Linked DNA regions of Tamandua tetradactyla. The protein of the gene in region 1 purifies or fractionates together with the protein of each later gene. This does not show direct contact. Links are inferred from orthologs where the notes say so. Each region holds a gene or a part of one and is shown in the gene's direction. Other genes may lie near its edges.

What was found.
Region 2: the proteins of CDK8 (region 1) and MED16 purify together in Homo sapiens (affinity purification with mass spectrometry; 10 studies listed by BioGRID and IntAct, counting the BioPlex papers as one, with this or other methods). This does not show direct contact. The link is inferred for Tamandua tetradactyla from reciprocal best matches to the Homo sapiens genes CDK8 and MED16.
Region 3: the proteins of CDK8 (region 1) and MED12L purify together in Homo sapiens (affinity purification with mass spectrometry; 3 studies listed by BioGRID and IntAct, counting the BioPlex papers as one, with this or other methods). This does not show direct contact. The link is inferred for Tamandua tetradactyla from reciprocal best matches to the Homo sapiens genes CDK8 and MED12L.
Region 4: the proteins of CDK8 (region 1) and MED25 purify together in Homo sapiens (affinity purification with mass spectrometry; 8 studies listed by BioGRID and IntAct, counting the BioPlex papers as one, with this or other methods). This does not show direct contact. The link is inferred for Tamandua tetradactyla from reciprocal best matches to the Homo sapiens genes CDK8 and MED25.

The regions. Positions count from the first base shown.
Region 1 is NC_135330.1:191,475,232-191,482,279, forward strand, and holds the start of CDK8 (cyclin-dependent kinase 8), read left to right. Parts: upstream 1-4,033; 5' UTR 4,034-4,099; coding exon 4,100-4,227; intron 4,228-7,048.
Region 2 is NC_135337.1:82,091,552-82,099,343, forward strand, and holds the start of MED16 (mediator of RNA polymerase II transcription subunit 16), read left to right. Parts: upstream 1-4,781; 5' UTR 4,782-4,886; exon of another isoform or gene 4,887-5,217; intron 5,218-5,688; exon of another isoform or gene 5,689-5,694; intron 5,695-6,336; 5' UTR 6,337-6,394; coding exon 6,395-6,527; intron 6,528-7,603; coding exon 7,604-7,711; intron 7,712-7,792. UniProt on the Homo sapiens protein: Component of the Mediator complex, a coactivator involved in the regulated transcription of nearly all RNA polymerase II-dependent genes.
Region 3 is NC_135331.1:44,633,235-44,640,981, forward strand, and holds the start of MED12L (mediator of RNA polymerase II transcription subunit 12-like protein), read left to right. Parts: upstream 1-4,737; 5' UTR 4,738-4,973; intron 4,974-5,824; 5' UTR 5,825-5,953; coding exon 5,954-6,052; intron 6,053-7,747. UniProt on the Homo sapiens protein: May be a component of the Mediator complex, a coactivator involved in the regulated transcription of nearly all RNA polymerase II-dependent genes.
Region 4 is NC_135342.1:11,337,539-11,344,808, reverse strand, and holds the start of MED25 (mediator of RNA polymerase II transcription subunit 25), read left to right. Parts: upstream 1-4,264; 5' UTR 4,265-4,651; coding exon 4,652-4,938; intron 4,939-5,033; coding exon 5,034-5,079; intron 5,080-5,343; coding exon 5,344-5,468; intron 5,469-7,270. UniProt on the Homo sapiens protein: Component of the Mediator complex, a coactivator involved in the regulated transcription of nearly all RNA polymerase II-dependent genes.

The DNA.
Region 1 (7,048 bases):
GGGTTTTGGTAAAGAAAGTGTTCTAGTTTGCTAGCTGCCAGAATGCAATATACTAGAAACAGAACAGCTTTTAAAAAGGGGAGTTTAATAAATTGCAGGTTAACAGTTTTTAGGCTATGGAAATGTCCCAAGTAAAGCATGTCTATAGAAATGTCCAATCTAAGGCATCCAAGGAAAGATACCTTGATTCAAGAATTCCAGTGAAGTTCAGAGTGTCTCTCTCAAGCAGAAGGGCATATGGCGAACATAGTCAGATTTCTCTCTCGGCTGAAAGGGCACATGGTGAACATGGCGTCCTCTGCTAGCTCACTCTATTGGCTTCCTGTTTCATGAAGGAAGCATTTTCCTTCTTCATCTTCAAAGGTCGCTGGATCGTGGACTCTGCTTCTTGTGGCTACATCGTTCTGCTCCCTCAGAATTTCCAGCTTTCTCCAAAATGTTTCCTCTTTTATAGGATTCTAGTAAATTAATCAAGATCGACCCGAATGGGTGGAAAATATGTCTCCACCTAATCCATCTTAACAACCACTCTTGATTGAGTCACATCTCCAGGGAGATGATCTAATTACAAGTTCAAACATACAGTACTGAATAGGGATTAGAAGAAACGGCTGCCTTTACAAAATGGGATTAGGATTAAAACATGGCTTTTCTAGGGTCCATGCATCATTTCAAACCAGCACAGAAAGATCATATTCAATTGCAAGAATCAGGACAGGCTTCATGACTAAGTTAGGCTTTGAGATGTGCCCTTGAGAATGAGTATGACTGCAAAGGTCAGTGATGGTATTAGCACGGGCTTTCCAGCCGTAAGAACAGGCATATTAGGCAAGGGTGTTAAGTACAAATGTGTAGGTAATGAAGGCCTCAACAGAATGACTGTCTACTGGGCTTGCTAGGTACAGGAATTGGGAAGTTCAGATAATAGCACAGTGTGTTCAGTTTCAGAAAATTTAAGTTGGAAATGTAGGGCTGGTGCTTGGGAGGCATGTTAAGTCTGGAGATGTTCAATTTGGAACGTAAAGAAAACCACACTTTAAGAAGGGAAGCATGAGCAGTATTTGGGAATTGCTTGGAATGGAGACCAATGAGGGTCATAGACTCTACAACATTGGATCTCATCACACAGCAGAGAGATAAGTGAAATCAGCATGACCTGAGGTTGTAAACTGACACTGAAATGAGAGCTCCATGTTCCTGATATGTGTAATTCATTCAAATAGCACGTAAGTCTGAACCTCCATGCTTCTAACCTCAGGAAGCCCATTCTTAAACAGGTTCTGCTCCTCAAATTTTGGAATACTTATATATAAGTCTCTCCTAGCTCACCTATTTGGCTCTGCAGGCCATTTCTTATCTTTCAGAATTAAGTCTCTGGCTGCCGTTCTTCCCCTTCCTCCAAGCATGGATGCAGGTCCCATAGCTAAGATCAGGCTGACAGCTTGGGGATAACAGAAGGGAATAACCATGCAGAAAATAAAACTTAAAACTCGATGTCAGATATTACTGCTCTTGACACATTAGCCCTACTCCTCTGGAAGGAGCCCCTAATGGCCATTTCTTCCTTAGGTCCCCATCCTGAGGCTGTGTTAAGGGGCTAGCTTACCTTGTACCACCATATTTCCCCAACTTGGAGGTCAGACCTCTAACTCTCAGAAAGAATAGCAGGCCATTCTCTTCCCTGGTCAAAGGTCAGCTTCTGTTCCTGCCTGGGGATTACTGTTAGGACATTTAATTCCTTCAGAAAGAATTCTTACCTTCATCTAGGGTAGATCAAAATGTTAGACAAAAGTACGTTTTAAAAAGTCGAGGATCTTCAATGTTCGGGAATATCACACACAGGTGGTATGTATATGGAGGAGTGGGGGGGTGGGCACCCACAGTGTAGGACCAATCCTAGCTCCATGCCTCTTTACAATCTTTCTTCCAGAGGAGTGACTTCGTTTCTCAAGATCTACAAGTAAATACTTGGGCAAAAAGACAGGCCTCTCAAGAAGCACAAAATAAATTTCTAGGAGGAATCTGGTCTACAACTCCATTGAGGAAAAAAAAAAAAAGAACTTTTAACTATGCTAAGGCACAGTCCTGCTAGAGTCACTCAGTTAATATCCCTGAATAGAAACATGTAATATCTCATTAGTGAAAGTTACATTTGTTATGCACTTACTTTCAGTGAGGGCCTTTTATATCTTCATTTTCAAAGAAACTGAAGCTCAGAGGTAGTCAAGGATATGCTGTTAATAAATGGCAAAGCAGAATTCAAACCTTGGCCCATCTAACCAGAGTCAAAGTACTTAAACACCAAATAATATTGAATGTACTATGTAAAAATAGCTTAATTTAAACCACTGATGAAGTTATTATTTTCTCCAAAGAAACTTATATAAGAGAAGGGTCCTGTGGAAGAGTTTAAAGAAAATACTATCATCATCACATCATCATAATTTCTGCAGGGATATTTTTAATATAACATGTTTATTCATTCATTAATTCAACAAATGTTTACTGTGCATGATGCTAGGTGTTATGGAAGATGCAAATATGATTTCTTATAGAAATCCATGAAACAGAATTTGACGAGGGCCACAGATGGGGGAAGTTGGGTGGGAGAGTATTATGGGGGTTTAAAAACTGTAGAGACATACCCTGTTTGGGACTGGGGAACTATAGTAGAAATGGTAGAAAATGCAAACCAAAAAGTTAAAAAAGAAACAGACATGCAAATAAGAGAGACAAGGCAAAATGAGAGATTATTATCAAGATACCAGGACTCTTCCTACAGAGTCCTTTCCTGCCTTAACATTGTCAACAAATTAGCTCCCATGGATTTATTCCCACTACTGTAACTTCATGGCTAAAAATTGGTGCTGTTATAGAGAATGGTGTAGAAAGTCGTACCCTAAACAAGCTTCTGTCTGAATGCATGGGAACCATTTGGATGATCATCTATCTGCAGAGCAATAATATTTGGAGCAGAGCAGACATTCCTCATTGATTCACTTCTCTTGATGTTTGCAGTGTGTCGATAACACTGTGGAGTCCTAATGAGATTGTGAACGCTAAGAGTAGCCCCACTCATAGCATGTGCGCTGTTTACAAACATTATACAGGCTTTTTCCCATCATGAGCCTGCTCTTTAAAATCTGCAGTTCGGGAGTTGCAGACTGTGATTCTGACATAAACCAGCATCCCTCACTCGCGCATTTCTTTACTTAAGTTAATGGCTCAGATCAGACTCTGAAGATGTCGTTGCAAAAAAACCCAACAGCCCCCACCACATCCCCTCCAGCGACTTGAACTCATCCCACCTCGAACTACAAATCCCGTCCAGCGGCTCAGCCCACGTTTCCCCTGTGTGGGGCGGAGTCGTGGAAGGGGCGGGCGCAGTGCGACCGGTGCATCCTGGGCATTGTAGTGCGGACCAGCCCCGGCTGGGCACCCGGCGCACGGTGCGTCCGTCGGGGGCTTTGGTCAGCCGCCCCCTCACCGGGTCCCCACGACCCGGCCCGCGCGACCGCCCGACGGAGCAGACGAGGGCGAAGTGGGGGAGGGAGGTCCAGGCCGCTCGACAGCCGAGGGAGCCCCACTTGGCGACGTTTTGCGACAGCCGGGCCGGATTCTGCGAGTGCCCGCCCTCCTCCTCTCTCTGAGGAGGCACCGGCTGTTGTGTGGCGGCTGCCTTTCTGTCGGAGTGTATGGGTGCGCGAGGGAGTGAGTGAGGGAGTGTGAGTGTGTGCGAGAGGGAGAGGAGCGGGTGCGTGTCGGAGGAGGAGGGCCCGCCGCGCCGCCCGCCGCAGCACAGCCGCGGGAGCAGCCGGGCGGCCGAGAGGGCTGCGGGAGCCGGCGCCGCGGAGCCCGGGGACAAGGGCAGACGCCGCGCCCCGTCCCCAGCCTCCCTCGCCTGGCCCCGCCGCCCCCCTGGATGCCCCCGGCGCTCCCGCGGGGCCTTCTGCTCTCGCCGCCTCCGTCGGGCCGGTGCTGCGGCCGCCGGGCGTAGAGCGGGCGTGTTCCCGGGGGCCGCGGCCGCCCGTGCTTCCCCGGCGCGCAGCCCGGCCGCCCGGCCCCCCGACCCAGCTCCCCCGCCTCGGAGGCTGTGACAATGGACTATGACTTTAAAGTGAAGCTGAGCAGCGAGCGGGAGCGGGTCGAGGACCTGTTTGAATACGAGGGCTGCAAAGTTGGCCGAGGTACTTACGGTCACGTCTACAAAGCCAAGAGGAAAGATGGGTGAGTGCGTGTGCCCCTCTGACTCTCGCAGGCCGAGGCAGGTGGCGGGGAAGAGCGGGGCCGGCTGCCCTGCTCCCACTTCCTCGGCACCCGCGTCTGGCCCCGCCGGCCAGGTTCGGGGAGGAAGTGGTGTACGAGGGATCCAGAACCACAAGTAATCCTGCGTGCTGCCTCTGTGTTCTTCTGGGTGGCCGACGGGGAATAGGCGCCTCTTTCCCGTGGGCCCTGATCTCTTCTAGGGTTTTAGTACTAGATTTTTTTTTTAGTTCGTTATACATTGTCAGTTTATATTTTTGTTTGTTGGTTTTTGTCGGCTTATAATGGTCACCTTCTGGGGATTTCCTCCCCCGCCTCTGGAGTGACATCGGTCAGTCTGGAAGGCAAGCTGATCCTTTCCCCTGACCAGCTTGTAATCGATTTATGATCACATTTAGGTTTTATTTGGGGGAAAGAAGGCAGCACGGAAATGTGGTTGTTGAGCGTTCCTCTTTGTGATCATCTGTAAAATAAATGTAGCAAGTGCTGCTTAAATATCATCAGCTGTGAGTTTTTGCATAGAACAATGGGGGGTTGCTGCAGGGTAGATGGATGGTGGGAAAAGGTAAGTGACAAATAGGGGCTGTATGTTTAGGCTGTTCCCCCAAAATTTAGCAGCTAGGAGTGAACTTTAGTCTTTTTTGCTTTAAACATTCTTCCCTAGAAATAGCATAATTAAATCTATGACCAGCAGTGCTCCCAGTTTAGTTTCCTAAGCAGTCAAGAAAGTGTTCATTATTTTCCTTTGTCAGTAGATGAATGACTTATAATGTCTTGTAATATTGACAAAAGAGAAGACATTTCTTAGTTGGGAAGAAAATATATTTAAAAATGTATTTAACTCTTCATTTTCCTCTTACAAAATGGGTGTTGTCTATGTTGCCTTGCCACTAGAGAAAATTGTTGGGAAGATAACGTCAAAGCTTATTAATTAATAATCTTTGGAGTCTATTGGAAACAGAGTAGCTTTACTCGAACAGCACTGTTAATTTGTTTGGTTGCTATGTAACATTTAAAATAAGTACTTTTCTTTTTTTCTCCAAATTAGTAGAAGATATATTCTAGCACTAAAAAAAAATCGAAACCTTTCATAAAGCTGAAATTAGTTACCTGGAGTGAGAGGGGAAGGCAACATTTATAAAACTTTAGCTAGATCATGGAAAAGAAAGGTGTATTTAACACTTTTCTTAGATTTACTGAGATATCTTTCTAAAATAATTTAAAATAGATTCCAAGAGGAAGATAGTTCTAATTAACTTGAAATGTGTATTTCAGTGCTTTTATGCAGCAGTTAAAGCAATATAGATATCTGCAGAAGATAGGGATTTAAAAACTTGATACTCTGGATGCCACATGATTTTTAAAAGTACTTTTTAGTGGAGTGGATAGTCTAGTGACGTTTGAGAAATCTGCGTCTGGAGATACTGCTGACTCTCTTGTCTAATTAGATTTCTTTTTAAAGCATAACTCTGTAATGACATACATATTTTAAAAACTATGCTTAATTAGCTTACCGTACTATATTTTTCAAAAGTCTTAAACCATTTCCCCTTCACCCATCCCCCAATATTACATAATTTGTAACATATTAATAAAATCCCCAATCCCATGAGATGAGACATCAGTATATTTCACCAGTTGGTCATCTGTTTTATAAAATTCAAGGGACTTTAAATTATTGTTAATTTCTCTGAGAGAAGCCCGTTCTGTTTTCATGAATTACCAAATCATGCTAATAAGAAAATGCAAATTTGATTAACTTCATGTAATGTTTTATTTTAAAACCATAATTTGTATATTGGCCGGAGGTACTTTTTAAGCACATTGAATAGCTTAGTCCAAATTTCAATTTAGGCTGTCAAGAATAATTTGAGAAGAATTACACAGTTTAAACGTGGCTGAATATATAATTTATCAAGTTTTTTTTTAGTCATTTATGATAGCTGAAAAATAAAATTGTGTTTTGGAAAAATAACTTTTTGTTAATAATCTTTAGTCTTGTTTTCCAGCAGCCTATAATAATTTTGTTTATATGATGAACCTTTTTTTAATGGATCAAATATCAAGAGAGTTTTAAAATTACTTAAAATGGTTTTTGTTGTCCAGAGGGACTAGTTTTCAGGTTGGCTTTTTTTGTAATTTCACTCTGGTAAAATACAGCACTGTATTTACAAGGTTCTTTTGAGCTTATGTCAGTGAAATTCAATTTAATGTATTTTGGTCCTGGTGAAATAAAATTTGTGGCTGTTTAATCTTTTCTAAAAAGATCATGATCAAATAATTTATTTTTAGTATTATTTGCTTTCAAATTAAGTTATAGTTTCTGCAATTTAAATTTCAGAGTACGCTGGAAATCCAGACAGTAACACCTTCAAAGACAATCCTAAGATTTACAGTAAAGTGAAATAATATAAATATTGTTTTATTTAGACATGTTTGACTATTAAAGTGAATGAAGTAAATATTGTATCCTTTTCATTTGTCAGGTGAGCATCATAAAGCGTTAATAATCGGTAAAAAGAATTTAGACCAAAGGTGTTAGCTTCTTACGTTATTTTAGAAAATAAAACAACTCAAAAGATAATTTGTTTGATTTAAGGGATTAGTAAAATTATCCTGCTTGTATACTGCACTTATGAAAATCTCAACATTTTTAAGGAATGTAGGGAAAGGGAAAGTACTTTATTGGAGGCGTGATCACATGCAGGGAAAGGAGTCTTTTATGATTGTATTAATTTCAGATTCTAATAGAGTTAAAATGTAAATGCACAATAAATCTTCGAAT
Region 2 (7,792 bases), on another chromosome or scaffold:
GGGGAATATGTATTTTTTTAACTTTTTTGTATTAATTAAAAAAATTAACAAACAAAACATTAAGATATCATTCCATTCTACATATACAATCAGCAATTCTTAATATCATCACATAGTTGCATATTCATCATTTCTTAGAACATTTGCATCAATTTAGAAAAAGAAATAAAAAGACAACAGAAAAAGAAATAAAACGATAATAGAGAAAAAAAAGATTATACATACCATACCCCTTACCCCTCGCTTTCATTTACCACTAGCATTTCAAACTAAATTTATTTTAACATTTGTTCCCCCATTATTTATTTTTATTCCATATGTTCTACTCTTCTGTTGATATAGTAGCTAAAAGGAGCATCAGACACAAGGTTTTCACATTCACAGAGTTTCATTGTGAAAGCTGTATCATTGTTCAATCATCATCAAGAAACATGGCTATTGGAACACAGCTCTACATTTTCAGGCAGTTCCCTCCACCTCTCCACTACATCTTGAACAACAAGGTGATATCTACTTAATGCATAAGAATAACCTCCAGGATAACCTCTCGACTCTGTTTGGAATCTCTCAGCCATTGACACTTAGTCTCCTTTCACTCTTCCCCCTTTGGTCGAGAAGGTTCTCTCAATCCCTTGATGTTAATTCTCAGCTCATTCTAAGGTTTTTCTCAGTCCCTTGATGCTGAGTCTCAGCTTATTCCAGGATTTCTGTCCCACGTTGCCAGGAAGGTCCACACCCCTGGGAGTCATGTCCCACGCAGAGAGGGGGAGGGTAGTGAGACTGTGTTGGCTGGAGAGAGAGGCCACATCCGAGCAACTAAAGAGGCTCTCTTGGGGGTGACTCTTAGGCCTAAATTTTAAGTAGACTTGACCTATCCTTTGTGGGGTTAAGTTTCATATGAACAAACCCCAAGACTGGAGGCTCAGCCTATAGCTTTGGTTGTCCACACTGCTTGTGAGAATATCAAGAATTCAACAAGAAGAAGCATCTTAACCCCAAAGCCATGACTGAAGTCAATCTTTGTGAACATCTGCTCCATCAGATGTTCCCGTTAAGTAGCGTATGCTGAATAAAGGATAGCGGCTACTATTTAGGAAATCCAAGGAGCCCCACACCCCCGCCGATTCCCAAAGTTCCTAGATGGTGAGATGGGCCCTGCTCCCACCCTGCAAGGCTTGCTCTGAGGGACAGTTCTGGTCTCCAGCCTTAAAGGTCAAACCGGTCTCAAAAGGAATGGGCCGGTGGGCAAGGACCGTGGCGTTCCCCAAAGGTCCTTGAGCTGGGTGGGGGGTGTGCGGGGTGTGGGGAAGGGAACCGTACATCGCGCGCGCCTCAAGGCCGAATTGAGGCCACTCACCCTCTACCCCTACCAACACTTTTTAATTATCTGTCCACCATAGTCTGAGATGTCTCCTGGTACTACCCCAAGCCATTAAGAATTACACAGCCTCATTCTCGTTCTGCACTCCAGGAATCCGGGCTGTCTAAATGAACTATCCAGAGAGCCTGGCTCAGACTGTGAGTTACAGAAAATTTAAGTTCTAGGCACAATAAACCTCTGTGCCTTTAATCTCACACGGCAGCTCATATGGTACATACATTATCATCTTTTACCCTGCATTCTGATTTGCATTAGACCCAGCCAGACTGACTTTGTTTTAACCTCTAATTGAGGCATGATCCCTTTCTCTGTTACTTCAACTGTTGTTTTACACAGCTATGCTAACGTTCAGGTCTGCAGCCCGCCATCTCAGGGACTCAGGTGTTGCAGAGCTAATCAAAGTTCCAGGGAAATACCAGTCATTATACACAGAGCTCAGAGTCTCAGAATCCAGAAATACATCCACAACTTCAGACCAGATGTGCCGCTCTAAGGGGCCACGATTCAGGCTCTCATTTTTTTCATACAAGCGTTTTTTGAAAGTGACCTTAGCATCATTGTACTCTTGTTTTCTGGTTCATTCTGCACAACCTATTATCTCCAAGGTTTATCCAGTTGGTCATGTGCCCCTCGACATCCTTCCTTTTGTAGCTGCACCAAATTGCATCATATAAATGTATCATTCGCCATTGTACTTCTGTCATTGTATCCTTTGGCTCCCTCCATCTATTGGGCATCATGAATAATGTCTCAAATAAACTATGTCTTGCAGTATCTTTATTTGGTTGTACAATTAGTAACACACTCAATTTTAGACTATTTTCATTGGTCTATAATGACAAAGAACTGGCAAACATAACATCACATCAAAACTGCCCCATATCACTTATCCCTCTCCCCACCCCTACAGTACCCCCAGTTATTTGTCCCTGGTAGTGCTGTGGTACAGCCGATGTCCTCCTGTTAATTATGGCCAATTAATTTTTGACAAGGTTCCCAAGTCCACGCAGCTGGGACAGAGCAGTCTCTTCAGTAAACAGTGCTGGAAGAACTGGATATCCAGATCCAAAAGAATGAAGGAGGGCCCTACCTCACACCCTATACAAAAATGAACTCAGTGTGGATCAAAGACTTAAATAGAAGAGCCAGTACCATAAAACTCCTAGAAGAAAATATAGAGAAGCATCTCCAAGACCTGGTACATGGGTAGGCCATGGTGGCTTAGCAGGCAGGGTTTTTGCCTGCCATGCCACAGACCTGGGTTCAAATCCTGCCGCCTGCTCATGTAATTAAAAAAAAAAACCCTAGTGAGTGACAGGCGGTAGTTCCTTAGACCTTACACCCAAAGCACAAGCAACCAAAGAAAAAAACAGATAAATGGGAGCTCCTCAGAGTTGGATGCTTCTGTGCTTCCAAGGACTTTGTCAAGGTTGAAAAGGCAGCTGACTCAATGGGAGAAAAGTACTAGGAAACCACAGATCTGATAAGGGTTTGATATCCAGAATATATAAAGAAATCCTAGAAATCAACAATACATAGACAATTATAAAATGGGTAAAAGACAGGAATAGGCATTTTTCCAAACAGGAAATACAAATGGCTAAAAAGCACATGAAAAGATGCTTGTCTTCATAGCTATCAGGGAAATGCAAATCAAACTCACAATGAGATCTCATCTCACACCTACAAGAATGGAAACAAACAGGAAAGTACAAGTGTGGGAGAGGATGTGGAGAAACAGGAACACTTGTACTGTTAGTGGGAATGTAGAAAGCTGCAGCCACTGTGGAGGACAGTCTGGCGGTTCCTCAGAAAGTATAGAGTTACTCAATAACCCAGCAGTGTCACTCTAGGTATAGAACCAGAAGATTTGAAAGCAGCGATGCAAGCAGATATTTGCACACCAATGTTCACAGCAGCACTGTTCACAATTGCCAAAAGATAGAAACAACTCAAGTGTCCACCAACCAGTAATGGATAAACAAAATGCAGTGTGTGCCTACGATGGAATACTCAGCGGGAAGATGGAATGAAGTCCTGAAGCATGGAGCCTGGGTAAACCTTGAGGACATAATGCTGAGTGACATAAGCCAGACACAAATGGACAGATATTGTATGATTTCACTGATATGAAATAATTATAACAAATAAACTCATTGAATTAGAATCTAGAATACAAGTAATCAGGGAATATAGAGAATGGGGACCTGCTGCCTAAATTGCGCAGAATTTCTATTTAGGTTGACTGTAAAGGTTTGGAAATGAGTAGAGGTGATGTTAGCACGTTTTTGTGAGTGTAATTAGCACTGAATTATGCGTGTGAGTATGCTGGAAAGGGGGAAGTTTTGGGTGGTGTATGTCACCAGAAGGGAAGCTAGAGGACAACACACAGAGAGCCTTGTGTTGGATGATGTCTGTGGTTGATTGTACAAATGTAAAAATGTTCTTTCATGAACTAGAACAAATATATGAGACTATTACAAGATGTTAATAATCAGGTGGTGTATGGAGAAAAATACAACTAATGCAAACTATGGAAAACAGCTGTAATATTGTAATATTCTTTCTTCAACGTTAACCATGCCAAGGGTCAATTATAGGGGGGAATACAGGATATGGGATTTTTTTTTTTTGAGTAATGAAAATGCTCTAAAATGATCATGGTAATGAATGCACGACTACGCGACGAAACCGTGAGCCATTGCTTGTAGACTTTGGATAGATTAATGGTGTGTGAATATGTCTCAATGAAACTGCAAAAACAAGACAAAAGCTTTAAAGGCCGAAGTTAGGTCTTGGAAATCTAAGCGTAAAGTCTAGAGCAGGTGCATGGCTGCTTGGTGTGAACGGGGCTTAGGCGCCCAGTGGTGGGCCAGCCCTGAGCACCTGGGCCTCCCAGGCCAGAGGGCTTTTCTGACAGCCAATGACTGCCTTTAGAATCCAGCAGGGAGAAGGAAAGTGCGGGATAAGTACCGGAGCTTGGGGCCGAAGCTGTGGGGTCCTCAGTGGGCAGGTCACCCGCCCCAGAACTTTAAGAAACAAGAACTAAAATATGGAACGCTTCACGAATTTGCGTGTCATCCTTGCGCAGGGGCCATGCTAATCTTCTCTGTATCGTTCCAATTTTAGTATATGTGCTGCCGAAGCGAGCACGTGCTAGTGGTTCGCAGATGCCGTATTTATAGGGCTCGAAGAAAATATCTTTACAGGAAGGGCAAATTCTTTTATAGTGTATAAGAGTTTAGCAATCAACATGTTTTCTGTGATATTAATATAAGATTTTGAGTAACTTAATTTTGTAATTGCTAAATGGAGCTGAGGAAACTCGTCGTTCTACCAAATAAAACTGCGGTGGCTGTTGGGAGTCTAGTCACGCCTATATGCAAATAGATGGCCGCTAGGGAGAAGCCGTTGCCGCCGCCATCCCAGAAACCTCCGGAAAGCCGCAGCACCGCGCGCGCGACTCGTTGGTGACGGGGAATATGGCGGCTTCGGGTCCGGAGAGGTATGGTGACTGCAGGCCGCAGCCGCCTGCTTGTCTTGGTACCGAGCCGCTGGATGGGCGTGGGGCCGCGGGAGCTCGGCGGGGTCTCTGGGCTTTGAACCGGCGTGTGGTCGGTTCGTGTGGCCCTCAGCGCAGCCGGGAGAAGTCGGGGGATGCCCGGACGGGCGGGGTTTGGAAGGCCAAGAGGCGGGGCCTGTGAAGTCAGGGGCGGGGCCTGGAGAGCAAAGGGTGCCGGGTACACCCCCGGGAGGACCGCGTTGGGGCGAGGCCTTGGGGTTGTTACGGAAACTTGGGAACAGCCTGAGGCGACCTGGAGGTCGGGGGTCCTGGGCTAGGAGGAATTGGGGACGGGTGGTGGAGGGCAAACGTGGTGGGTGGCAGGCCTGAGGCGTGCTTGGGGCGGGCCCAGAGTTTTCGGGGGTGGGGCTTGGGGCGGGGTCTGGAGTGCCAGGGGCGAAGCCTGAGACGAGTTCGGGGCATTTCCTAGAGGGCCCGGGGATGGGGCCTGAGGCCGGCTTGGGGCGGGGCATAGAGGCCTCATAGGTGGAGCCTGAAGCTAGTTTGGGGCGGGGCCTAGAGGTCCCAGCGGTGAGACCTGAGGATCTAGGCAGGACTTGGGGGCGGGACCTGGACGGGGGTGGTGTCTGGCCAGCAAAGGGCTTTGAAAGTGTGGCTTTGAGAACTTTGTAGGGGCTTGTGACTGGATCTTGGTGGTGTGGGGGCAGGGCTTAAAAAAGTAGGGCGACTGGGCTCTGGTAATGGTGAAAAGAATACAGCCCTGCTTAGTTTCTCCTGCTGTTACCGCCATTGTTGTCGTCGTTATTTATTTAATGCTTGTTGCCAGGGCTGTGGGTCGTGAAAGTGGGGTTGGTTCTGGGGCATGGCCAGGTGTGGAGACTGAGGGAAGTTCTGAGCCGTGTTTAGAGGTCCCAGGTCTGGGAGTGCTGGAGCAGGGAGCTGGGGTGGGAGCCCAGGGCCAAAGTGGGCTTCTCACCTGCCATAGCCCAAGGCAGAGCCATTGTCCTTTTGTCCAGAGCAGAAACCCTGAGTCGAACCCGATTCCTCCCTGCCCAGGGTAGGTCCCTGGGCCAGATCCCAAAGCCAGTCAGAGGGTCCTGTTAAAACATAAATCAGTCTCGGCCTTCCAGGGCTCCCACCCTGCTGGGGACGAAAACCCAAGCCCTCCCATAACCCTTGGAGTCCTGCCTTCTCTGCCCTGTTCCCCCCTCCCACTCTCTCCCTCTGCCCCAGCCACGCACCTTCCAGCACTCCTTGAACACACCAGCCCTGGGCCAGCCTCAGAGCCTTTGCATGAGCCATTGCCTCTGCCAGTAATATTCTGCCCCAGTGAGGGTGCCCAGCCCCTCTCTACCTGACCCCCCTACCCCCAGACCCAAGGGCAGGCATCAGTCAACACTCATGACGAGCCCACCCTCCTCCCCTCCCTCAGGAGCTGATGACCGTCTTTGGTGCCTACCCTCGGAGCCTGGCCTGCGGTGCTGGGTGCAATGGACCTGGCTTATGTCTGCGAGTGGGAGAAATGGCCCAAGAGTACCTACTGCCCATCGGTGCCCCTAGTCTGTGCCTGGTCCTGCCGCAACCTCATCGCCTTCACCACAGACCTCCGCAGCGACGACCAGGGTGCGCTCTCCCCAGCCCCCCACAATCCCAGAGCCCTTGGCACCTGCCACAGTGGAACCCTGGGCCCCTCAGGCCTGCCTGGCACTCCCAGAACCACCCCTTACCTAGCAGGTGCACTGGATGGTCCAGGCTCACTCAGAGACTCCCCACCTCTAACTTGGGGTCTCGCTTAGCTCCCTGTGGCTGTGATAACAATGGACCACAAACTGGGGGGAGATAAGCAATAGAAACTTGTAGACTCAGTCTGGGGGCCAAAAGTTGGAAATTGAGGGTTCAGCAGGGCCTGACTTCTCGGGGGAGTGTCCCTCCTGCCTGATCTGTGCTCCTTGGCCTGTGGCCGCATCTCCCATCCCTGCCTCCATCTTCCTGTGATTGTCCCCTTTGTGTCTTCTGTGTCCATGTTTCCCTCTTATCATAAGGACGCCTGTTGCCGGATTCAGGCCTGCCCTAACCCGCTGTGGCCTCATCTTAAATAATCACATCTGCAAAGACCCTACTTTCAAATAAGCTTACCTCCCGAGGTTCCTGGGGGTGAGCATTTGGGAGACACTCTTCCACCCAATAGAGGGTGGTGGGGTTGAGGGGTAAATGCAGTGTCAGGAGACCCTTGGTTCACCCCTGTGGGGGCACGTGGTGATTTCTGCAGACGGCCTGAATGCACGTCCCAGGGCAGACAGTGGCCGGGCCTGGCTTCTCCCCATTGTTCGAATAATCTGCTTGTGAGAGGAAATTAGAAAAGCACAGAAAATCAGAATAAAAAAGGAGAGCCAGCCGTAGCCTTCCATGGAAAGATGCCCACTGTTACTTTTTTGGGTCATTTTCCTCTAATTTCATTCTAAGCCTTTTTAAAAACTGGCTGTGATCACAATGGCAGTACAGCTGCACCCACCCTGTCCCCACCATGGGAGGTGAGCATATTCCTTGCATTAGTGCCATCTGCATGCTTGTCATTGGCTCCGAGGTATCCTTGTGGGTTTTTCAGCCATACCTGCCCCTGGGGCCATGGGGGCCTTGGGGACTGTGTTGTCCTCGCCAGGCTGTGGCCCGGCAGCACTGACCATGCCCTGTCTCCCCAGATCTGACCCGCCTGATTCACATCCTGGACACAGAGCACCCCTGGGATGCCCACTCCATCAACTCGGAGCATGAGGAGGCCATCACGTGTCTTGAGTGGGACCAGTCAGGTGTGAGGTGGGGCCGGGGCATCCTCAGGGCCCATCGTGGGTAGGGGTGGTCACCCGCAACCTGGAATCCAGGGAGCCCCG
Region 3 (7,747 bases), on another chromosome or scaffold:
CCAGGGCATTCCTGAGGGTTTTCAGGAATACTGTTGCTTGGAGCTTGGCATACTGTGACAAATTGCAATATCTGGCTGAAGCTCAAATAAGAGTAACCTCCAGAATACCCTCTCTACTATTTGAAATCTCTTGGCCAGTGAAACATTATTTTATTTAATTTATTTTCCACCTTTTGGTCAAGATGGAATTCTCTATCCTACAATACCAAAGCCAGATTCATCCCTGGGAGTTAGGTCACATGTTGCCAGGGAGACTCACACCTCTAGGAGTCATATCCCTTGGGGGTGGGGCGGGGTAGGGTAGTGAGTTTATTTTCAGAGTTGTGTTTGAGAGAGAGGCCACATCTGAGCAACGAAAGAGGTTCTCTGGGGGTGACTCCTAGGCATAATTATAAATAGGCTTAACTTCATCTTTGCAGAAATAAGTTTCATAAGGGCAAGCCTCTAGATCAAGGTCTTGGTTTATTAAATTGGGAGTCCCTAATGCTTGAAAGAATATCAGGAGTTCTCCAGGTTGGGAAGTTTAATAGTTTCACACTTTTCTCCAGTCCCTTAAGGGGACTTCGCAATTTTTTTTTCTGCCCAAAATACATTAGAATGCATCAGGGTATTACCTTAACCTGTACAGAATAACAAGATTTCACTCCCTATTCTAGGTTCCATGTAATTATGATGTTTAAATAAACTGATTAGACAGGTTAAATTAGATAGTGTATTTCAGAAAATTTAAATTTTGGACTAAATAGACATCTCTTCCTTTGGTCTCACATGGAAGTTGAGGTTTTAAAACACAGACAATATCATTTTTTTACACTGTATTCTGCTTTACCTTAATCCTAACCAGGTCCATTTCTTTAATATATTTAATTGAGGTCTTTTGATCTCTTTTTCAGCTTACCAGTTGGGGTATGGAGTAATGCTGACTATCAGAGCTGCAGAACTCTATGTCTGAGTCTCTAGTATCACACAGATACCCCAATTCCAGGGAACTACCAGGTTATATACAAAGAGCATAGCATCTCAGAATTTAGAAATAACAGCTAAAACTCAGGAACAGATGTGACTGCTATACGATCTCACTTTCTAGGAACCTTTACAATGAACCTTACTGAACCTTCTGTACTCCTTAATCATTCTCTGCCCAAGTTGTATCCCCTGATAACCTATGATCTCAGATTCAATTCTTAGGGTTTGCTCGTTATAGTTAGTTTATATTAGAGACCATACCATATTTGTCCTTTCATTTGTCTTATTTCACTCAACATAATATCCTCAAGAATTATTTTACCTAATTGCATGCCTCACGATTCCATTCCTTTCTGCCGCCACTCCATATTCTGTCGTATGTATACCCCACAGTATGTCCTTCTCTTCACCAGTCGATGTATTCTTAGGCTACCTCCATCCATTGCAAGCTACGAATAATGCCACCATTAATACCAGTGTACAAATGTCTACTCCTGTCCCTGCTTTCAGGTTTTCCGAGTATATACCTAATAATGTGGTTGCAGGATCATATGGCAACTCTATACTTAGCTACTTCTGTGGAGCCACCACACTGCCCTCCAGAGGGGCTGCACCTTTCTACTTCTCCACCAACAGTGAATAGGTATCTCTCTCTCTCTCCACACTTTCTCCAGTACTTGTACCTTGTGTTTATTTTTTACACAGTTTTATTCACCAACAAACAATCCATCCTAAGTGTACAATCAATGGCTCCCAGTATTATCACATAGTTATGTATTTCCATTTCTCCCCCTAAGAAAGAAGAGGAGAGAGAGAGAGAGAAAAAAAGGAGAAACATCAACAATAAGAATTCCATATCCCCCCACCATAACCTCCTTTTATTGGCATTTAGCTTTGGTTTATTTCCTTTGTTACAATTAATGAAAGCATATTACAATGTTACTGTTAGCTATAGACCTCAGTTTGGATTAATTGTATTTTTTCCATATACCATCCCATTTTTAACACCTTGCAATGGTGACATTCATTTGTTCTCTCTCATATAGAAGCTTTCTTATATTTGTATATTTAATTACCATCCTTGGCCACTCTAGATTTTGCTAAGTTATAGAGTCCCAGTTTTTGTGCTCTCTCTTTCCTTCTTGTGTCCTATGTGCCCCTAGCCTACCACTTTTCCATACAGAATCTTAACGCTATCAGGAATAGGAGATGGATAGCTCAAGAAGAATCACCTGCGATTTCCATGCTGCAAATAGGGGTAAGTGCTAACTGGGGCAAAGGGGAAGGAGAAAGAATGAGTTTGGTAGGTAGAGGTGGACTGCAAAGATCCCAAATGTAAGGGCAAGGAAGGAACCAAATGTCTATGGGAAATCTATGTAGTGAAAGAATGATTTTGGAGGAGGCTTATCAATTAAAGCTGTTCTGAGGACCTCACAACATCCTACTTATCGCTACCTCCAGTAACAAGAATTACTGTCCCTGGGTCTGAGGCCCACACCAATCAGTGCTCTGAGAGAACTGAGACTTTTCTGGCCAATGAGGGGGTACAGTGAGCAACAAGGCACTTTCAGAAATAGGCCTGATGACTATTATACAGATGACCTGTAACAACAGCATGAAAACAGAATCGGTCATATGGTACCTTAGGACGCATGCCCCTGAATGAGACACCATCATAGCTGACAGGTGACGAAGCAGACACTGGGTTATAACATAACCTGACTTGTGTACATTCTTCTTCAAGTCAAGAGAGGCAAGACTGATTTGATAGGACCAGGGGCAAAGGTTCCAAGACCTTTCCCTTCCAAGCTTCTGGTGACTGTGGAATCTGAGGGGGATTTTCAATAAATAGCTTGATGTACCCACCTGTTCCCTTGGCAGAAACCCACTTTCCCTCGTCTTTGTTTTAATGCCATGTGTGGCACAGAATTATGCAGAACCCTGTTTTAGTGCAAGCACTTTCTTCCCACTTGTAACTCGTAAATACAGAGCATGTGTGGTGTTAGAGCCTCAAGGGTTTTGGAAGGGAAAAGGGGAGAAGGTGGTGCTTTAGGAAAGAGGATTTTCAAGGTAGGTATTTCAGTCATTACTATTTTTTTTATCCCATTGTATTGTATGCATTTCTTTTGGCCCTCTCACTCCTTTTTTTTTGGAATGAGGCTGTGCAAAATATTAAGCACAGACTTTATGTGTCTTAAAAATAAAACAGGTGCAGTCACGAAGATAGAGGAACCAAGACAAAATAGGGGAGGACCTTGGGAGAATTAGCTGTAACCATAACTTAGATTGACAAACAGCAGATTTGAGTGGGGCTAGTAACAACAAGTCCTTACTTAGTGTTAGTGATCAGATGTTTAGTAACCAGATGTTTAGGAAACCTCTCAGGGATGTAACCGAAATTCATTCACCCGTGAGTCTGCCAGCGTGTTGGGTCTTGGGGAGAGTGGCAAAACTTTGATAACTGCTGTGGCTGGATAATGAGTTCTTGCGGGTTCATTATACTATGCCCTCTACTCTTTGGTACATTTGATCATTTTCCTAACAAGGTTATATTATATGTCCTTTCTTTCAAGCAAGAGCTAGACTGATAACATAAAGGCAAGTTCAACCAACCATTATGCTGCACTCACAGTATGAGTGGAACAGAAGCCCCTGGAGTAGGGTGTTCAGGAAGTGCTTCCTGATGGCGGTTCATTGTGTCTATAAATTCCTGCTCAGATTGAGTTAGGAAGCCCAAAACTACAGGTCTGATTTAGCCTCAGGTATAGGTTCAAGTGTTTAGGACTCAAGGTCAGGACGGAGGAACTAGCTGCTAGCAGGGTGTCATCTCCTTATCTACTTCCTTCTTTCCCCTTTGTTTGAAGTCAGCAGAGGTAAGCAGATATTCGGTACATCCAACATTTCCTGGGCATCTACAATGTGCAGCTGCCGCACAAATGCTTAGATTCTGCCTGGACCATTTTATAGGGGAGGGAAATGGGAGTCCGAGAAATTCCTCAAGTTGTGATGAACGCGACACAATCGGGCACCTGCGCGCCAGGAAACTCCGGGGAGAATAGATCAGAAACTTGGGATCAGGCAGAGGTAAATTCAAATCACGACTAGCTTCGAGGCTTTCAGCAAGTCACTTGACCTCCCTTGAACCGACTTCATTTCTCCATCTATTAAAAGGGTACAGGAAATCCTGTAAGTTGTGCAGTTTATCGAGCTTGACTGTCAAAATCCCGGCAAGAAGAGAGGGCTCCATAAATGGCAGCCATCATTCTTCTCGGCCAAGTGCGGGTGCATCCTCCGGGGCGCGCCTCCCGCGGGCTCCCCCGGGACACGCTGGGCCCGCCCCCGCGGCGGCCTCGCAGTGCTCGCGGCAGGTGGCCCAGCATCCTGGCGCCCACGCCCCAAACAAGCGGGGAGTGCGGGTGGGTGGGACGATCGAGATCTCTCCTAGACTATCCGCTGCCCCTCCCTCTACGCGCCCGGCGCAGGTGAGGTTTCCAGCCGGGGCCAAGGGGACAGCGACCTCTGGAGAGGTCGAGGCGGAGAGCGCAGCTTGCGGCCCGGAGTGCGGTGCTGGGGACGCCCCCTCCCTTGCCCGGCTTCACCCCAGGGCCATCCCCGGCGCTTGGGCCCGCAGGCTGCGCGCTCTGCGGCTGCGAAAACCCGGAGAGGCGGATCGGAGCGCGCTCCCAGCGCTGGCAGCCAACTCCTCCGCGGTCCGGCAGCCGAGCTGGGCATGCTCAGTGCGGCCGCCGCGCTGCCGTCCGCCAACTAGGAAGCTCGCGCTCCCGGGCTGTGGGGGCGAGAACGCCGGCGGCTGCGAGCCGGCGTCGTCCGCCGCCCCCAGACAGTGGCAAACTTCGTGGCGTCCCCGGAGCTCGCCTGGACTAGACTTGATACCTTACAAATAAAATAAAATCGAGTTCCCTAATCCTAACCCGAATCATGGAGGCTGCGGCCGCCAGAGTGCCCCCGCCGCCGCCGGCCCCTGCCCGCTAGCCAGTGACCAACAGGTAAACTGTTGGGGGGTGGGGGTGGAGGAGCTGCGGCCGGGGGGGAGGGCGGCGGGCTGGAGGAGCCCGAGACGCCCGCAGTCTGTCAGCCCCGATCTGCGCTCGCTGCCGCCCCTCTCGACCCGCCCCCAACCCGCCTCTGGAGGGTCAACAAAGGGTTAAGTCGGCCCCGCGCCACAGAGAGCACGGCCGGCTCCAGCCGCCGCTGCCGCCGCGACCACCAGCAGCGCGTCTCGGCGCCTGCCCGGAGCCGCGGAAGGGACCCGAGTCGCGGATGCGCCACCGGAGCCCAGCGGGAGTCTAGGAGGCACCGGCCGCTCCTCAGCTGCCCGCAGCCCTCCTCCAACCCCTCTAGGCCTCCCTCCCTCCGCACCGGCCGGGTCCGCGCCCAGGTGGCGGGGTCTGCAGGGCGCGCGGCGGCGGGGGAAGGGTCCTTGAGGCGAAAGAGGGATGGGGGCGGGCCGCTCCGCCGTCCCCTCCCTGGGGAGACGGGCCCCTTTGCCTTGGGCGAGCACTTGAGCCACCCGCTTAGTCGCCAAGAAAAGTTTTTTTTTCCTCCCCGCGCCCCTCCCCCACCCCCACCCAGGGCCCAGCTGGCGTGGGTTTGGGTCCATTGGTGAAAAAAGTCACACGTTCCCATCAGCTGCTCCTCCCCCTAGGGACGGGGCGGGGGCGGGAGGCGGGCGCCGCGGAGGACCCAGGCAGACCTCCTGGTACCTCCGCCGCCTCCGCCGGAGCGCCGCGTCCCGGGGCCCGAGCGCAGCCAGGTGCCCGCCGAAGCCTGCCCCCATCAGTGCATGTCTGCGTGTCGGGCAGCGGCAGCATCCAACCTGCTTTATTCCTGCCTGCAGCGCCACAGCGAGTGAACGAGCAAGGAGGGGGAGAGAGGGAGTCTGTCTGCAAAGTGCTGCTCCCTGGTGCTCAGAGGCGGCTGCTCCAGCTCCAACTCTCATTCATTTCGCCGGTTAACATGAGAGATCATGGCCGCCTTCGGGCTTCTCAGCTATGAGCAGAGACCGCTGAAGCGCCCCCGGCTTGGGCCGCCCGACGTCTATCCCCAGGACCCCAAGCAGAAGGAGGTGAGGACGTTGTCGGCCTCCCCGGCACCCGGGGCCGCGCTCTGCAGCGCTGACCCGGGGCCAAGTTGGCCCAGCGGGCATCGTCGGCGCTACGGGGGAGGGGTCGTGGAGGGGGGGCTGGAGGCGGGGGCCGGCCTGGGTCCCCCGCGGCGGAGACCCAGCGGCAGTCAGTCCCTGCGCTCCACTGGGGCGCTCGCTTTCCCGGTGTCGGGTCGCTTCCCGGTTATCGGGCCTTGCACCGCGCCGCTGGGTGCTTCACGGGGTTTTTCATTGCTGAAACCCTCCTACTCGCTCTCCCCCGCTCCTGCCTGCTTTATTCCCCCCCAGCCGCTTCGGTAAATCCTCGTAAACTTTTTGAAAAATGTTGGAATGCAGTGCATCCGACGCCGAGGTCTTGCGTTTTGCGCCAGTTGAGCCGAGAAGTGGAGAGGGGGAGGTGATGGTCGGGAGCATCTTTTCTCGTCTCAGATTTTCCAGTTTGGAATGGAAGTCGTTCTTGTCGGGGTGATAAATAATTTAGCTTTCTGAATATACTTTTGCACCCCCTCTCCCCTTTAAAAATCAATATTTAGGAGAAACACTGATTTTCGTCTCCAGAGGCGATTGGATTAATTGCTGAGGCTGTTTTATGTATGTGAAAGGAGGGAGATTACCTTGGAAGGGAATAAGTCCAGGATTGCTTATTCCTTTGAATGAAATTAATTGGAGAAACCTTGACACTTGCACCAGGTACCACTAGCTTCAGTGGCGAGGGTAACCATGGCATTTTGTAGTCATGTATGTGTTTGTCAAGAGTTAACAAGTACTTATGTAACAACTCTCCAGTTATAATGATCACCCTTGGCTACACGATTTGCCCAGGGACTTGCCTTTTTTTTTTTTTTTTAAGATCACCTGCTCCCCAGCTGTACTACAGAATTTGTCAGCTGCAGCCCACGTATTCTCTGCCCTCTTCATCTAAACAGGAGCTGACCACATTTCAGAACTTATCTTTTTGGAGATCTAAATTTCTCTATTAAAAGTTTACAGGGCCACCATGTAATGGAAAGGGTCTTGCAAATAAGGTGAGGAGGGGTCCTTAAGACTTCCCTTTGATAAATGTGTATATTTTGATATTAGAGGAAGAATGCTTGTTCTGGTTAAGCTGTTTTATTAATAATATGTCTGAAAAATAAGGAGGGACAACTCTTTTTAGAGGTTTCACACATTAAATATGTTTGAGCATCAGTAGAGTAGTGCAGATTGAAGCTGGGGAGGTTTCCCAGGTGTTTCCCAGGAGAGGCTCATCGTGAGGACAGGTGAGTTTGAAGTTCTGCAGCTTTCTTCCCCACTCAGTTCTGTCCATGCATCCCTGCACCAGAATAATGTGGATTGCTGAGGACCAAGAGTAGAGAAAAGTTCCAAAGAGTGCTCATTTACCAAAGGGTAATAACTTAAGAATTGTTGTTAGCAAATCCTTAAAGGTTTGGTGGGGACAGAAGCATTTGTTGGCTGATCTCTAGCGTCTCATAATTGATATCTTGCTACATCTTTCCACAGTTGTCATAACTGGTGACACCTCCCCAGTTATGAGATGGTGGCTTGCGATGCCAAGTGGGCCTCTTTGGCATTTCATTATTTTGGGCCACACTCAAGTCAGGATTGGGACCGCTGCGATTCTTGAAATAATAATTTTGAATTTCAGGGTCTTAAGCA
Region 4 (7,270 bases), on another chromosome or scaffold:
GGGAGTTTTGCACAACGAGACAGCTGCTTCTTGCATGAAGCAGCTCCCATGACTCATGCGTGAAAAATGTTTGTTATCTGCTTCTTGCAAAATGTTTGTTATCTGCTTCTTGCAAAATGTCTGTTATCTGCTTCTTGCATGAAGCAGCACCTGTGACCCATGCTCGACCCTCACCCCCCTCCTCCTACCCCTTAAAAGCTTCCCCAAATCCAGGCTCGGGGCTCTCTGTTCCTGCATGTTCAGTGAGCCCCACGCATGTGTGGTAAATAAACCCCTTGCGTGTTGCATGAGAGAACGTCTCTTGGAGTCCTTTGCGTGGCAAAACTCTCGAATTCTTACAATACGCCTTAAAGTCAGGTAGTGTGAGACCTCCAACTTCATTTTTCTTTCTCAGGATACTTTTAGCTATTTGGGGCACCCAGCCCTTCCACATAAATTTGGTTATTGGTTTTCCTATTTCTGAAAAGTAAGTTTTTGGGATTTTAATTGGTATTGCATTGAATCTGTAAATCAATTTAGGTAGAGTTGACATCTTAACCAAATTTAGTCTTCCAATCCATGAACACAGTATGCACTTCCATCTATTTAGGTCTTCTGTGATTTCTTTTAACAATGTCTTGTAGTTTTCTTTGTATAGGTCTTCTGTCTCTTTAGTTAATTTTATTCCTAAATATTTCATTCTTTTGGTTGCAATTGTAGATGGAATTCATTTCTTGAGTTCCCCCTCAGATTGTTCATTACTAGTGTATAGAAACACTACAGATTTTTGAGTGTTGATCTTGTAACCTGCCCCTTTGCTGTACTCATTTATTAGCTCTAGTAGTTTTGCTGTGGATTTTTGGGGGTTTTTGACATATAGTATCATATCATCTGCAAACAGTGAGAGTTTTACTTTATCCTTTCCAGTTTTGATGCCTTGTATTTCTTTTTCTTGTGTAATTTCTCTGGCTAGAACTTCCAACACAACGTTGAATACAATGGTGATAGTGGACATCCTTGTCTTGTTCCTGATCTTAGGGGAAAGTTTTCCATTTTTCCCCATTGAGGATGATGTTAGCTGTGGGTTTTTCATATATTCCCTTTATCATGTTGAAGTTCCCTTCTAATTCTATCCTTTGAAGCGTTTTCAACAGGAAAGGATGTTGAAGTTTGTCAAATGCCTTTTCTGCATCAATCGAGATGATCATGTGGTTTTTCTGTTTTGATTTGTTGATATGGTGTATTACATTAACCGATTTTCTTATGCTGAACCATCCTTGCATACCTGGGATGAATCCTACTTGGTCATGGTGTACAGTTCTTTTAATATGCTGCCGGATTTGATTTGCAAGAATTTTGTTGAGGATTTTTTGCATCTATATTCATAAGATTGGTCTGTAGTTTTCTTTTTTTGTAATATCTTTGTCTGGCTTTGTTATGAGGGTGATGTTGGCTTGGTAGAATGAGTTAGGTAGCTTTCCCTCCTCTTCAATTTTTTTGAAGAGGTTGAGCAGAATTGGTACTAATTCTTTTTTGAATGTTTGGTAGAATTCACATGTGAAGCCAACTGATCCTGGACTTTTCTTTTGGGGGAGCTTCTTAATGACTGATTCAATTTCTTTGTGATCGGTTTGTTGAGCTTGTCTATTCTCAAGCCAATGTTGGTTGTTCATGTCTTTCTAGGAAGTTGTCCATTTCATCTACATTGTTGAGTTTATTAGCATAAAGTTGTTCATTGTATCCTCTCATTACTTCCTTTATTTCTACAGGGTCAGTGGTTATGTCTCCTCTTCCATTTCTGATTTTATTTATTTGCATCTTCTCTCTTCTTTTTGTCAACCTCTCTAAGGGTCTACCAATCTTATTGATTTTCTCACAGAACCAACTTCACCTATTCTTGATATTTCCTTTGTGCTCGTTGATTTTTGTGATTGGGTCTAGTGTAGGCTGCTTCCAAAATGTCTCTCTACATATTCACTCTCTTGTGTTATTCTCTCCCTTTGGCATGCAAGGGGACCTATGACTTGCTTCTAACCGAGTATTGCAAAGGTAAGGAGAGTCTATAAAGACCATGGCTTATGTCTTGCTTCCACTTTCTCTCTTCCTGACATTTTCTTTTGCCCTTTTGCTTGCTTTGATAAAGCAAGTTGCTCTGTTATGGATTTTGCAATGAAAGGTTTGCATGGTGAAGAACTGAGGGTAACCCCTGTCCAACAGCCCTTGAAGAACTGAATCCTGCCAATAGTTACGTGAGTGAGCATGGAAGCAGATCCTTCCCTGGTTCAACCTTGAGATGACTGCAGCACCAGCTGACACTTTTATTCCAGCCTGTAAGATACCTGGAAGCAGAGCACCCAGGTAAACTGTGTAGGGATTCCTGACCAAGGGAAACTGTGAGATAGTAAATGAGGTTTGAAATCACAATGTTTGGACATAGTTTGTTACATGGCATGCGATAAGTTAGTGCCCTTTATTTCTTTCACTATTTGGAACTTTATGGTATGTTATGAACTGGGCCATCCCAGCATGTGGGGCCCTTGGGGTCTACATCTACTGAGTGTGGCTTCTGTGGACTCTTGCTTATATTTCTCACCTCTGGCTGGGGATCTTTGTGAACTTGTTACTTGATCGTGATCTGAGTCCTCTGTGTAGGATTTACTCCTGTTTCTGTGAGTCATCAGGAATGCATCCCACATGGAGCTGCTGTAGCGGCCTGCCCTGGAAGGTCCTGGTTTAACTAGACAACCAGACTCAGTTGTCGGATTCAAACTGTCCTCAGTTCCTGGAGACATCGGTGCAGGCAGTTTTGCCCAAAAAACCAACACACAACACCCCTGCCTTTTTGTTTATTAATTTCTAGTTCTCTCTCTCCCTCCCTCTCCCTCCCTCCCTCCCTTCTTTGGGGAGAGGATCCTGGAAGAATACTCCTTCCTCTTATGAAACGACCAATATCTTAAAAACAGTTTCGTCCGCCTAGTCCATCATAATTCCAGAAGTCTAGTCTAAAATACTTAATCATTAATTTTACCATTCTTAATACACATATAGAAAGGCTTAAAACTCAATTATGTCAACCAATCAAGCATTTAACCTATCTAAAGAAAAGTTGCCTTATGAAGTTAACAGGGCAGATTTTAATTTCAGGTAACATTTAAATACTTGTCTTACCTGTTGATCATTTTTCCTTTCTCAATGTTACTTTTATTTCCTTTTAAAAACTTGCTAGAAATTCAATCATGCTAGCATAAAAAAGGAGTGGACTGTCCTAGATGAAAAGAAACATAGGAGTCATAATGTCTAAATAATATGTGAGTCGCCGTTGTTCGGAGACTGACTCAAATAAAACAATTGTAAAAAGACATTTTGAGAGAATAGGGGATATTTGATTATGGTGCTAGATGATACTGAGAAACAGCTGTTAATTTAGTCAAGAGTGTAATTGGAAAGTGGTTATGCAAAAAAAAAAATCCATACATGTTTAGAAATGCCTGCAACCACATAGAGGTAAAATGATAGGGTTTCAGGGATTTGCTTTACGAAGTTTCAGCAAAGACAAAATGGATGGATCAAGTAAATGTGGCAAAATGCTGATTCTTCTGCTGTTTTCAAAGGGAATGCAGTTTTTTGGCAGAAACATATATCGCCAAAATGCATTGGAGCAAGTCGTCCCGTTTACATTCCCACAGACAGTCTGTGAAATTGTTCCTTTTACCCAAATTCTGCCACCTCAATGAACATCCATATCCTTTCTGATATTAATTACCACCACAAAAGCAAAACGCTATCTCACCGGGCTTTCTGTCAGCACTTTTTAATCGATGAAGACAGGCAGCTGTCATATTTTTATTGGCCATTTTTAATTTCTCTTTGTGTAAAGGCTGCTCAGGCTCTTTCCCATTTAAAAAAAAATTTAAAATTAAAAAAGACTATGTCCATTTTTCTACTTTTTTATCCATTCGTAAGATTCATTTGTGTAGTAAATTTTGATTCTCAGGTATGTTGCAAAGACGTTTCCTGTATATCTTCCAAACATGGCATTGTTTCGGTGGGCAAAAATATGCCAGTATTTTAAGTTTTCTGTCTTCGGGATGATGCTAAGAAAATCTTGGCCGGTTTTCAGAATGATACAGCGCGTTTCTTTTTCCTTCGGATATTTTTATGGTTTCGTTGTTTACATTTTTAATCCACCTGGAACGTATTTGTTTTGGGGCCAGTTTCCGGCTCCCTTCCCAGCAAACAACTAGCAAGTGTTGCCTAGCAACTTCCACCGGGTTAGGAGCTCGGCTTCTTTTCGGGGAAAACAGCCTCGCTGGCTTCCAAGTTGTTTGCAGCCTTAAAGCGTTGCCGAGCGACGCCCATTTCGGACGCTCTGATTGGACCATTCACCCATCCTGCACCCGCTGGAGAGAATGTAACTAGAAACTTAAATCTCCCTGTTGAACACAAGGGCAGCGTACGCGTCGCATAGCAACTAGGTCTCCTCACCAGCCCAGGGAGACCAGAGTCGGAAACAGCGGTGCCCCGCTCAAAGATGGCGGCCGACGGAGCCGCTGTCGCTGTGTTTTGTTCTGGATGATCCAGTCCCCTATTCGCTCTCCCGCACCAGGCTCCCGAGATGGCTCACTCTGTCCCGTCTGGGTCTCTCATCGGGTGGTTGTGAACGAGGACGGGGATGGAACCGACCGCCCTGCCTGCCCTGTACAAGCATGGCCGCCGGCGTATCCCCAGCGGCTCGAAGCCGCCCTGCGCGGATGCGCGCGCAGTTCAGCGCACTTCCGGTCATCCCGCTGTGGCGGCGGTGGCTGTGGTGGCTGCGGCGCGGGCTATGGTCCCCGGGTCGGAGGGCCCGGCCCGCGCCGGGGGCCTCGTGGCCGACGTCGTGTTTGTGATCGAGGGTACGGCTAACCTGGGTCCCTACTTCGAGGGGCTCCGTAAGCACTATCTGCTCCCGGCCATCGAGTGAGTGCCGTTTCCGCGACTCCAAACCCGCCCTCCTGCTTTAGTTTTAAATGGCCTTTTGGCTAACCTCGACTTTTGACCTTTGGCCCTGATAGGTATTTTAATGGTGGTCCTCCTGCTGAGACGGACTTCGGGGGAGACGTGAGTCTCGGGACTGTTTGAGTGTGAGGGAAGAGGGGGCTGGGGGCCCAGACTCCCAGGTCTGAGGGAGGAGGTTCTGGGGGTCGGGACTCTGGAGTCTGACGGAGGAGGAGACTGGGGGCCCGGATACCTGGGGCTGAGGGAGGAGTGGGGTGGAGGCCGGGACTCCGGGGTCTGAGGGAGGAGGCGGCCGGTAACCCAACTTTTCTGAAGGATCAGGGTGCTGGGAACTCAAGTTCAGATTCCTCTGTCCTTTTCTCCCAGTATGGGGGGACCCAGTACAGCCTCGTCGTGTTCAACACGGTGGACTGCGCTCCCGAGTCCTACGTGCAATGCCATGCTCCCACCAGCAGCGCCTACGAGTTTGTCACCTGGCTCGATAGCATTAAGTGAGCTTCTTCCCTGCTGGGGTGGGTTGGGGTTCCCATGAGGGGCCATGAACTGGCCGTGGCTTGGAATTGAGCTTCAGGAACCATTCATTCCCATTGGCTAGTTGAAAGGACTCAGCGAGGAAAGATCGCGTGTTGGTCCCATAAGGCACCTCTGTGGCGGGTTTTGTGAGATCGTCACTGCTTTGGATGGAGACAGGTTTTGCAGCCAGAGAGTCCTGGTTGAGCTCCAGATTCCACTTCATGTCCTTCTGTGCCTCCCCTCCTGTTTTTCTCTTCTGGTTCCTGTCTCCTCCAACCCTCCTTGTTCAGATAGGCACATTGAAACTTTAGTACAGAAAGCTCACACCTGTGGCATCATAGATCCCCCTGGGTTTAAGTCAGAGTGTACTAGTTCATTGGAGTTTGGCACCTGGGGTCCACCACCTAACACTCAGACCCAGGAATCCCTGCTCCTCTGGACCTTGTACAGTTCATCTCTAAAAAGAGATATCAGGATATTACTAGACTCTGTTTTACTTACTTATTGTATTACTTACCTACCACCATGTTCAAAATCACCCTAAAACTTAATGATTTAAAACAACAAGTGTTTATGGTTCGGTGGTAGAATGCTCGCCTTCCATGCGGGAGACCCAGGTTCGATTCCTGGACCATGTACCCCCCAAAAAAGAGAAAACAGAAGTGACTTAGCTGGGTGCTTCTGGCTGGGGGTCTGCTTGAGACTGTGGTCAGGATGTCAAATGGGCCTGGAGGATCTGCTCCCAAGCTGGCACACTCTGTGGCTATTGGCAGGAGGCCACAGGTCCTTCCCACAAGGCCTCTGCCTGGGGCTGCTGGCATGGCCTCCTAACATGCCAGCTGGCTTCCCCCAGCTCTGAGCAATCCAGCAGAGAGAGCAAGGAGGAAGCTACAAGGCTTGTTAGGCTTAAGCCCCAAAAGTCACACCCATCACTACTGCCACATTCTCTTTGGTGCACAAGTTAGTCCTGTCCAGCGTGGGAGGGGACTGCAGTAGGGCATGAGCTCCCAGGGGTGGGGACCATTGGAGGCCACCTTGGGGCTAGCCACCACGACATCACAGGGGCACTTTGAGAATTTTAAATGAGTTGAGAACTGCTTTGCAAACAGTGTTTGGCCCACGTGAAGTGCTATGTTTGTGTGTGCTAATATTTTGTGCCTGAGTTTCCTGGTTTATAAGTGAATCTTAGTGCTTTTATGACTGGGGTCATGGTATTCCATTTCTTAGTGCTGTTGACAGGAGCTCAGGGGCTAATCTTTGCTCTGGGCTTAGCTCAAGTTCTGATCTGGTCTGGTATTAAATGGCTATTTAATGGGCTATTAAATGGCCCCTGTTTTAGCTGCTGTTTCTTTTTTTTTTTTGCATGGACAGGCACCGGGAATCGAACCCGGGTCCTCTGGCATCACAGGCAAGCATTCCTGCCTGCTCAGCCACCGTGGCCCAGCTGCTGTTTCTTGTTAGCGTTGTTCAGCCTTGTTTGTTGAGTGTCTGCTTTGTTTCAGGCTGTGTGTGCAGGTGTCGAGCCTGCAGTGAAAAGTAGACTCCTAAGCCTCCCTGTTGTGGTTATTAGAATTAGTCGTAAGTATAGAATGAGGTTTCTTAACCTCAGCATTTGTGATGCTTTGAGCCAGAGTGGTCTTTACTGTGGGGGGTGTGGGGAAGGGGCGTGCATACTGTGCACTGTAGTGAGTTTGACAGCATCCCTGGTCTCTCACCTACTGGTTACTGGTAGTGTAGCTGCCCAGCCCCACCCCCTGGGATGTGACAACCAAAAATATTC